2 linked regions of the Daphnia pulex genome follow. The protein of the gene in region 1 purifies or fractionates together with the protein of each later gene. This does not show direct contact. Links are inferred from orthologs where the notes say so. Each region holds a gene or a part of one and is shown on either strand. Other genes may lie near its edges.

The links.
Region 2: the proteins of DET1 homolog (region 1) and E3 ubiquitin-protein ligase COP1-like purify together in Homo sapiens (affinity purification with western blotting; 11 studies listed by BioGRID and IntAct, counting the BioPlex papers as one, with this or other methods). This does not show direct contact. The link is inferred for Daphnia pulex from reciprocal best matches to the Homo sapiens genes DET1 and COP1.

What each region holds. Positions count from the first base shown.
Region 1 is NC_060020.1:945,238-949,110, reverse strand, and holds DET1 homolog, read left to right. Parts: upstream 1-1,343; 5' UTR 1,344-1,509; coding exon 1,510-2,658; intron 2,659-2,715; coding exon 2,716-3,222; 3' UTR 3,223-3,258; downstream 3,259-3,873. Other genes in the region: cyclin-dependent kinase 7-like, read right to left, coding at 1-139, 211-388, 453-580, 662-943, 1,015-1,077, 1,138-1,209; cAMP-regulated phosphoprotein 19-A-like, read right to left, coding at 3,586-3,783. UniProt on the Homo sapiens protein: Component of the E3 ubiquitin ligase DCX DET1-COP1 complex, which is required for ubiquitination and subsequent degradation of target proteins. The complex is involved in JUN ubiquitination and degradation.
Region 2 is NC_060028.1:8,377,553-8,381,587, forward strand, and holds E3 ubiquitin-protein ligase COP1-like, read left to right. Parts: upstream 1-1,225; intron 1,226-1,371; 5' UTR 1,372-1,417; coding exon 1,418-3,226; 3' UTR 3,227-3,402; downstream 3,403-4,035. Other genes in the region: NADH dehydrogenase [ubiquinone] 1 alpha subcomplex subunit 10, mitochondrial-like, read right to left, coding at 1-361. UniProt on the Homo sapiens protein: E3 ubiquitin-protein ligase that mediates ubiquitination and subsequent proteasomal degradation of target proteins.

The sequences.
Region 1 (3,873 bases):
TACACCTGTCTAAAGGATGCAATGCCAAAAAACGACTCAAAAGCTGCAGCAAATCATCTCCGGCGGCGGTGAAAATATGCCGCATTGGAATCACGGGGAAAGCCTTAAACTGAACAAAATCTGGTAGCGAAAGCAGTCCCTAATCAAGGAAATATGACTAGAGTTTAAAGGTGGGAGACGGTTGAGTTCAAAATTGTTTTATGTACTTACTGGCCAATTCTCTTCGTTTGGAGTGCCCAAAGTTGTAAAAATACGTGTAAGTTGATCTAAGTCAGATTCTCCAGGTAAAAAGGGGAGTCGAAGCAAAAGTTCAGCCATTATGCAACCTACTGCCCATACATCAACACCGGTACCGTACATTCGAGCACCAAACAACAGTTCTGGACACCTAGTTTCAGGTGTGATCAATTTTAATTTCAGCTGAATATTTATGTTGCATTTCTTCAAATTACCTATACCACCTCGTCACAACCTGGTGAGTGTAGATACGAGTGGGTGATGCAAACGATTTTGCCAAACCAAAATCACCAAGTTTCAGTATTCCTTGACGATCAACAAGAAGATTGTTAGGTTTCAGATCCTAAAATGGTAGTTGAAAAAAAAAGAATGTGCATACTTCTGTCATAATGTACAGGGGAAAAATATATATTATTATTATTACTCTGTGAAGAATAAATAGAAGATGGAGATATTCAAGTCCTTGAAGTGTCATAAGAATGTAAGCTTTAATGTGTGCTGGAGTGAGAATGATGGTTGTGTCCTTGATTATTTGCTCCAAATCAGTATCCATAAAGTCAAACACCAGAGATACATTAGAACGGTGACCAAAGACATCAAGTAAACCAATTATATGGTCATGCTTGAGTTCTTGGAGTAACTTGATTTCTCTCAAAGCTGTTCGATTGATTCCATCTCTAGCCTCTTCTCGTGAACCCAGTTTAATCTTGAACAGAAATAGTGTTAGTATTTTATAAACGAACCGGAAACGCTGAAATGAAAACACATTTTTTAAACCTTTTTAACGGCAACTATTTTGTTATCGTTTAGAGTATCTTTCGCCTTGTAGACTGTCGCAAACTAAATTACAAAATAAAACAGTTGAACATACACAAAAGACAGTGCCAATCAAAACCTTACCTGTCCTTCTCCCAAAAATTCAATCTTTTCATATCGCTGAAGTCTAGGTTCTCTTTCTCCACTCACGTGCATTTTTCATTCATACACTCAAAGTTTCTTTCAACTTTTAATCACCCGTCAAGAACGATTATTTTAAAATGGAATTTCACTCGTCAACAGGTGGCGTGAAAAACTATTGTTTATCTTTCTATTACCACCGCTAGATCGATCTGTTCTACAAAATGTTTCGGATTTTGACATCTCAAACCTGCTTCAGTTCTATTTCACATGTGCTTTATCACTAAAAATCTGAAACTTCTAAAATTCACGGCGAATAAAATGGGAATTGCAGATACGTAGTAAAAATGCCGAGTAATAAAAAAGGTTCTGAAAATGATGAACCCCAAATATAGACAGGCTGACCATGGTGAGTTCGAGTTGACTCCTAGAAAAATTCCCTCGCAGAATGTTGTAATTCGACTGATTCGTCGAGAGACTCATGTCAAACCCGGAAACTATCACATTTGCCGATCATTTTATCAAAGTGTTGTCCCAAATTTTACAATTGTCAACATAGAAAAGCCACCATGCTATTTGAGAAAATTTACACCCAACGGCAAGTACTTTATTGCATTCTCTTCAGATCAAACTTCAGTGGAAGTTTACAAATATCTTGGACCAAGTGCAGTAGAAGATTTACTTACAGATGTTCCAGGAACGAGAGAGTTTGTTGGAAATGATACCAATGAAGCTGTAAATTTAAGAAGTAAAGTATTTTCTAAATTCTTCCAGTTAAAGCATACTATTGCTGTAACTCCTGTTGGTGAACAACTAAATCGCGAATGCAGTCTCTTTGTCGGTGACGGAAGATTTGTTATTGTCGGTTCAGCCTCGTACGTTCCCGAAGAGCCCCAGCCAAATTTTTTTGATATTTTCCGTAATAATGAATCCGTATCTCCTCATCCTCGTTCTCCACTAGAAGATTGCTCACTTCACATCGTTGACATCGTCAATGGAAGGCTCTGTGATACTAGAACAATGAAGACCGACAAAATCTTTCTCTCACACAACCAAGGACTTTACTTGTATGAAGACACTCTAGCAGTTCTCTCTGTCCAGCATCAAACGATACACATTTTTAAAATTTCACACGATGGCTATTTTGCTGATGTAAAAACTATAGGTCGATTTTGTTTCGACGATGACGAATGGTTAATCAATCAAGTACGGGGACTTTGGCCTTCGGGTCAGTTGGTTCGTCCGTTTCGAGAGGCAACTGTCAACGCGCTCAAGCATCGTTTACTAGTGTTTCTCTACCGACGAGCAATCAACATGGCTGAAGCCGAAGGGAATCTCTTTCACGTACGAAAGTTCTATCAGAACTTTGATCACATTCGCGCACTCCGAATCTGGAAAATGCAGTTGTTGGATGAGTCACATTTGCTTCTGAAATATGCTAGTGAAGATGTGGTTACACTACGAGCTCCAGACCCAAATACGCAACCGGCCTTCTTTGTCGTTTACAATATGGAAAACGCACAGGTATCTTGATTATAATTAAAAGAAAAAAACTTAATCCCACGTATTATTGTTTTACAGGTTATTAACGTCTATGAAAACACAAGTCAGGAACTACTGAACTTGTTCGAGAACTTTTGCGATTTACTACGCAACGCAACACAAGGATCACCGTCCAGCAACGTATTTGCAAACGTCATTCATCAACGATTCAAGCAGACCATTGTCAGCGCTCGCTTTGGTGGGCAGACGGAAGCCACAAAACGACTTCTTTCACAACTTCCCATTTCAGCACAATCCTATTCCTCTTCGCCTTACCTTGATTTGCAGCTGTTTTCCTATGACGATAAATGGGTTTCGCTCATGGAGCGTCCAAAGACTAGTGGAGAGCACCCCATTCGTTTCTACGTCCGTGAATCTGGACTGCTGCGGTTTCGCATTTATGCTGGTATTCTTGGCCGGCCAGCTCCGCCTTCTTCTGCCCGTCGCCTTGTTGCTTTCACGTTTCATCCAACAGATCCATTTGCCATAAGTGTTCAGAGAACCAATTCCGAATATGTAGTCAATTTTCACGTTCGTCACATTTAAATTCATGATTTAAAAATACAAATCATTTGTGCTGTATTGAAGTGGTGCCACTGTATGTATTTCATTTTTTTAACGGGGGAAAGGAGTCTAACTAGCGTCTTCTGATTTACGGAACTCCTGGTTATTTCTCATCATTTCAAGCGGAAAAAAAATGAAGAGAGGCGGTAAAATAGTAAAGAGCGCGGCCAAAGATTGAGAAAAAAATGTTTTAAAAAAGATTTAAGGGAAAAAAAAAAAAAAAAACTGATGCAGACACCGAAACGTAACACGATCATGAAGATATTACACCAAATTGTATACAAACTGCCCGATACCAAATTCATGCCCGCGAACGGTTAAGACTTTCAGGTGATGTTGCTCTTTTTACATAGCAGGACTTGCCAACTTGCTCTGAATGATGGATGTTTTCCTGGTAGGAACAGATTCCGGAGTTGGAATGGCATCCCCAGTTGGGTGTCCAAGATTGGCAGGTGGGATTACTGCTGTTGTTGCTGCAGTTGGTATTTTAGCTGGTCCTTTTTGTTTTGCCATTTGGTAATCTCCAGAGTCAAAGTACTTTTGCTACAATAAAATTATAAGTGAAATAGAATTAGTTGGTAAAACATTTCAGTTGGCAGATTGCATTCAAACTTTCTCATATTATTGCACAAT
Region 2 (4,035 bases), on another chromosome or scaffold:
CATATTTATTAATGTAGCAATCTGCTACATTTGGCGATGGAAAGTATGCCATATCCAATTCTTCAGCCAACTCTTTGGCTAGAGCCCTTTTCCCAGCAGCAGGTGGCCCTTCAACAACAATCAACTTTGAATTCTCATCTAATCGGCTGGTGGTGGGATCAAACAAAGCTCGTAAAAAGTTGTATCTCTTTTCCTTGTATGGGAATGGAGCTGGCTTTTTAACAGGGGGCAATCCTTGGCGCATTACTTTTCCAGAGATAGAACGCTGTCCTACTGTAATCACACATTGTTGTTGTTTCCTTGCTATGATGACAACACTTCCGCATAGCTTTGGAGAAGACACTCTGCTGAAGAAGACCATCTTGTATCGTTTTAAAGAAGCAAGTTATTCTTTACCAATCTGGTTAAACCCTGCAAACAATCAAAAACATTTAATATTTAACAAATTGCACTCCACATTTCTACTACAGCACATTAAATACAAACAAATTTAACTCTAATTTAATAATGAGTTGGAAGCAACGAAAACGAAAGTAGGCATGGACAGTTTGAAACTACCTCAAAGTTACGAAAATGCTATTAAATACTCAATTTGTACCGAAACAGTTAGTTTTTAAATTATATTAAGCAACCATAACATAATAATGAAAATAGTGTTTTTCTTTTACCAGACGGCCATGTAAAATTTTCTTTACCTTTCCTTCTGGACCGCCAACGTTGCCTTGCAGAAAGAACAATCTTAACAATGAATAAAAATATAATCAATATTTGTCCGATTGGCTAGAATAAAATTAAAATAAAATAAAGAAATGTGTAAATTTTAAAAATCTAATAATCTATACATTTTTGATTTGCTGTCATAACTTGGCAACTGAGTGAGTTTAGTTTGATATTCCAATATGGCGGCATCCATAACGCAAGTGTTCCGTGTCAACTCTTGTCGGCTATTGTACTGTAATCGTTTTTCCAAGGTCGCTTTCCCAGCATTCTCTACTCAGGCCACAAATCTTAAGGTGAATAATACTGAAGTTTCGCTATCGAATTTTGCATATCAATAACACGTAAATCTTGTACAATCTTAGAAAGGTAAAGGCCTGATTTTGGGAGGCTATTCTTCCAAGAAGACCGAAACCGACGTCGACTCTACAAAAGATTTCATTTGGACTCAGGCGGCTAAAAGTTTCAATGATCAAGTGGCCAATCGCTTAAACGATGCGTTGAACTGGTAAGCCCATCCAATAAGTCTTGATTCAATCAAAATTAGGTTTGATGTCAGACATATGTTGTGCATTCAGCAGCTAATCTGACCTGAAATTCTTTATAATGATAGAAACAAACAGAAAATTCTGACTTGTTTGTGATGTGTTTCAGGTCAGATCATCTGTAAATGTGACATACGAAAATTCAAAGCCTGAAGATGGCAGGCCGTGGGGTTAAGAGGGGTCCCCAGTCTCTTCTGTTTGGGGGTGTAAAGGACACGTATGAAGACAGAGATAGTGATCTTCTCTGCCCGGTCTGCTTGGATATGATGTCGGAACCTTACGTGACTACATGTGGGCACAGCTTTTGCCATGGATGTATTGTCAGAAGTCTGGAGTTAGCGAGCAAATGTCCCAAGTGCAGCGGTCCCCTCGACAGTAGTGGCCGAAACCCATCCGTTTTCCCCAACGTAACCCTCAACGCATTAATAACCAAACAGAAGAAGAAATTAGTCGAGAGTCAAGATGGAAATATTTTGATGAAAGACTTTACTACTCTGTTGGATACTCGGGATTGGCATCCATCAGAATTAGTTCGCATGCAAGAAGTTTTGCTTCGGAAACAATGTGATCTTGATGGAGAACGAAAACTGACCGAAGCCCAGCTACTTAACGAATTCCTCCAACAGCTCAAAACCAAGAAGAACAACGAGTTGAGAAATGTTCAACAAGAACTAGAGGTGCTTGACAAGGATTTAAATATGGCGCAAACCCTAAATCCTGGCATCGATTCTGCTGCAATTAAAGTGGAAAATTGTGAAGTCAACGAGACGGCCTTCAATTCATCCATCGCGTCCACACCGTTAAGCATCAGTCAACGTCGTGTAAGAATGCACCAACATTTCGAAGATTTAGAGGGGAAATACTGGGCACTTCGGAACAATCGTCTCGGTGGTGAGGAAGAAGAAAAGAAAAGTTTACTCGACTTTCAATCTAATTTGAACCAGTTAACGCGATGGAGTAGACTAAGGCCTTTGGCTAATTTGAGCTACGGAAGCGAACTCCTCAACACGGCACACATTGTCAGCTCGATCGAATTCGACCGAGATGCTGATTTTTTCGCCATCGCTGGTGTGACCAAACGCATCAAAGTGTACGACTACGCAGTGGTTGTACGGGATGCGGTTGATCTTCACTATCCTGTTATGGAGATGGTGGCGGGCTCGAAGATATCGTGCATATCTTGGAGTGCCTACCACAAATCGGTTCTGGCAAGCTCCGACTACGAAGGCAGCGTATCCGTTTGGGATGCGTCCGTCGGTACTCGTCTGAGGGTCTTTCAAGAGCACGAGAAACGCTGTTGGAGTGTCGATTTTAATCGCATGGACAGTCACTTGATGGCCAGTGGCAGCGACGATTCCCGAGTCAAAATCTGGAGCTTAAACGCTGAACACTCTGTGGCCACTTTGGAAGCTAAAGCCAATGTCTGTTGCGTCAAATTCAATCCGTACTCGCGTTATTGCTTAGCCTATGGCGCAGCCGATCATTGCGTCCATTACGTCGACCTACGTCAGCCCAAGGAGCCACTACGGGTCTTTAAAGGCCATCGCAAAGCCGTCTCTTACGTCAAGTTTCTTAGTGATCGCGAATTAGTGTCGGCCAGCACGGATAGCCAATTGAAATTGTGGACGGTTGAAGACAACGTTTCATGTCGATCTTTTCGCGGACACACAAACGAGAAGAACTTTGTGGGCCTTTCGACGACGGACGGCAGCCAAGACGATCGACGTGATTTGATTGCTTGCGGTTCGGAAAATAATGCCCTTTACCTCTACTCGAAGGGACTCAGCCAGCCTTTACTTCATTATCGTTTCGACGTTGTTAAAAGCGCTTTGCTATTGGACAAGGAGCGGGCCGAGCAAGAAGAGAGCGCCGAGTTTGTTTCTGCCGTTTGTTGGAAACCCGACTCCAACGTAATCGTCGCTGCCAACAGCCAGGGAACTATAAAAATTCTCGAACTGGTTTAGGGTGGTAATTTTATTGTCAATTCCCATCATCATCCATTTTGCGAATTTTCTATTTGGTTCTGGGTTGTCATTCCCCAATGACTTGAATGCTGTGTTCTGCCAAAACGTGATTCCCCTGTTGTGCCTAATCTTCATTTAAATTTTATCCTGCAAATACAGTTGTGAATTTCCTTTGACTATATTTTTCATTTTTTGTCGTTGTTATCCCCGTGTTTATTTCCCCTATCCCGTGTCCTCTTTCAATTCCAATCCCACAGGAGTGGAGTACCGAAGAAAGGCAAAGCTCGAGTGCTGTACGGACTAGATCGTGAGTTTCCGGCTGTAGCCGTCGTCAATTTGGGCCCAAATCCTTTGGATGATTCCACCATTTTCCAAAAAGAAAATATCTTGGAGGAGAGAGACACAGCCAGGGAGAATCTAAGATGCGGAATTGCAGGCACCTTATACTTGTCTAAAATCTTTTTTTTTTTTTCTTTTCTTAATGAATCGTATCTTGCAGCTGGTGTGAAGGCCTTGCAAGAAGTTGGAATTGAAATTGTTTCAGTCGACCCTTGTTCTGATGCCGAATGCGCTGCTGAAAGTGCCTCCCTGACCCGCTGGCAGTTTCAAGATTTGAAAAATGCCGCCAAACGTAAACCCGAACTCGATTTGGTATTGCACGGAAGCGATGAATATGGGTTAGCGAGAAAGAATTTAACGTAATTTTTCGACTTCGGCCTTAATTTATGTTTTGCTATTATTAAAGGGAGGCCCAGTGGGAGAGGGGTTTGACGAAAGCAGCTGGGCAGAACTTGGCCAGATGGTTGATG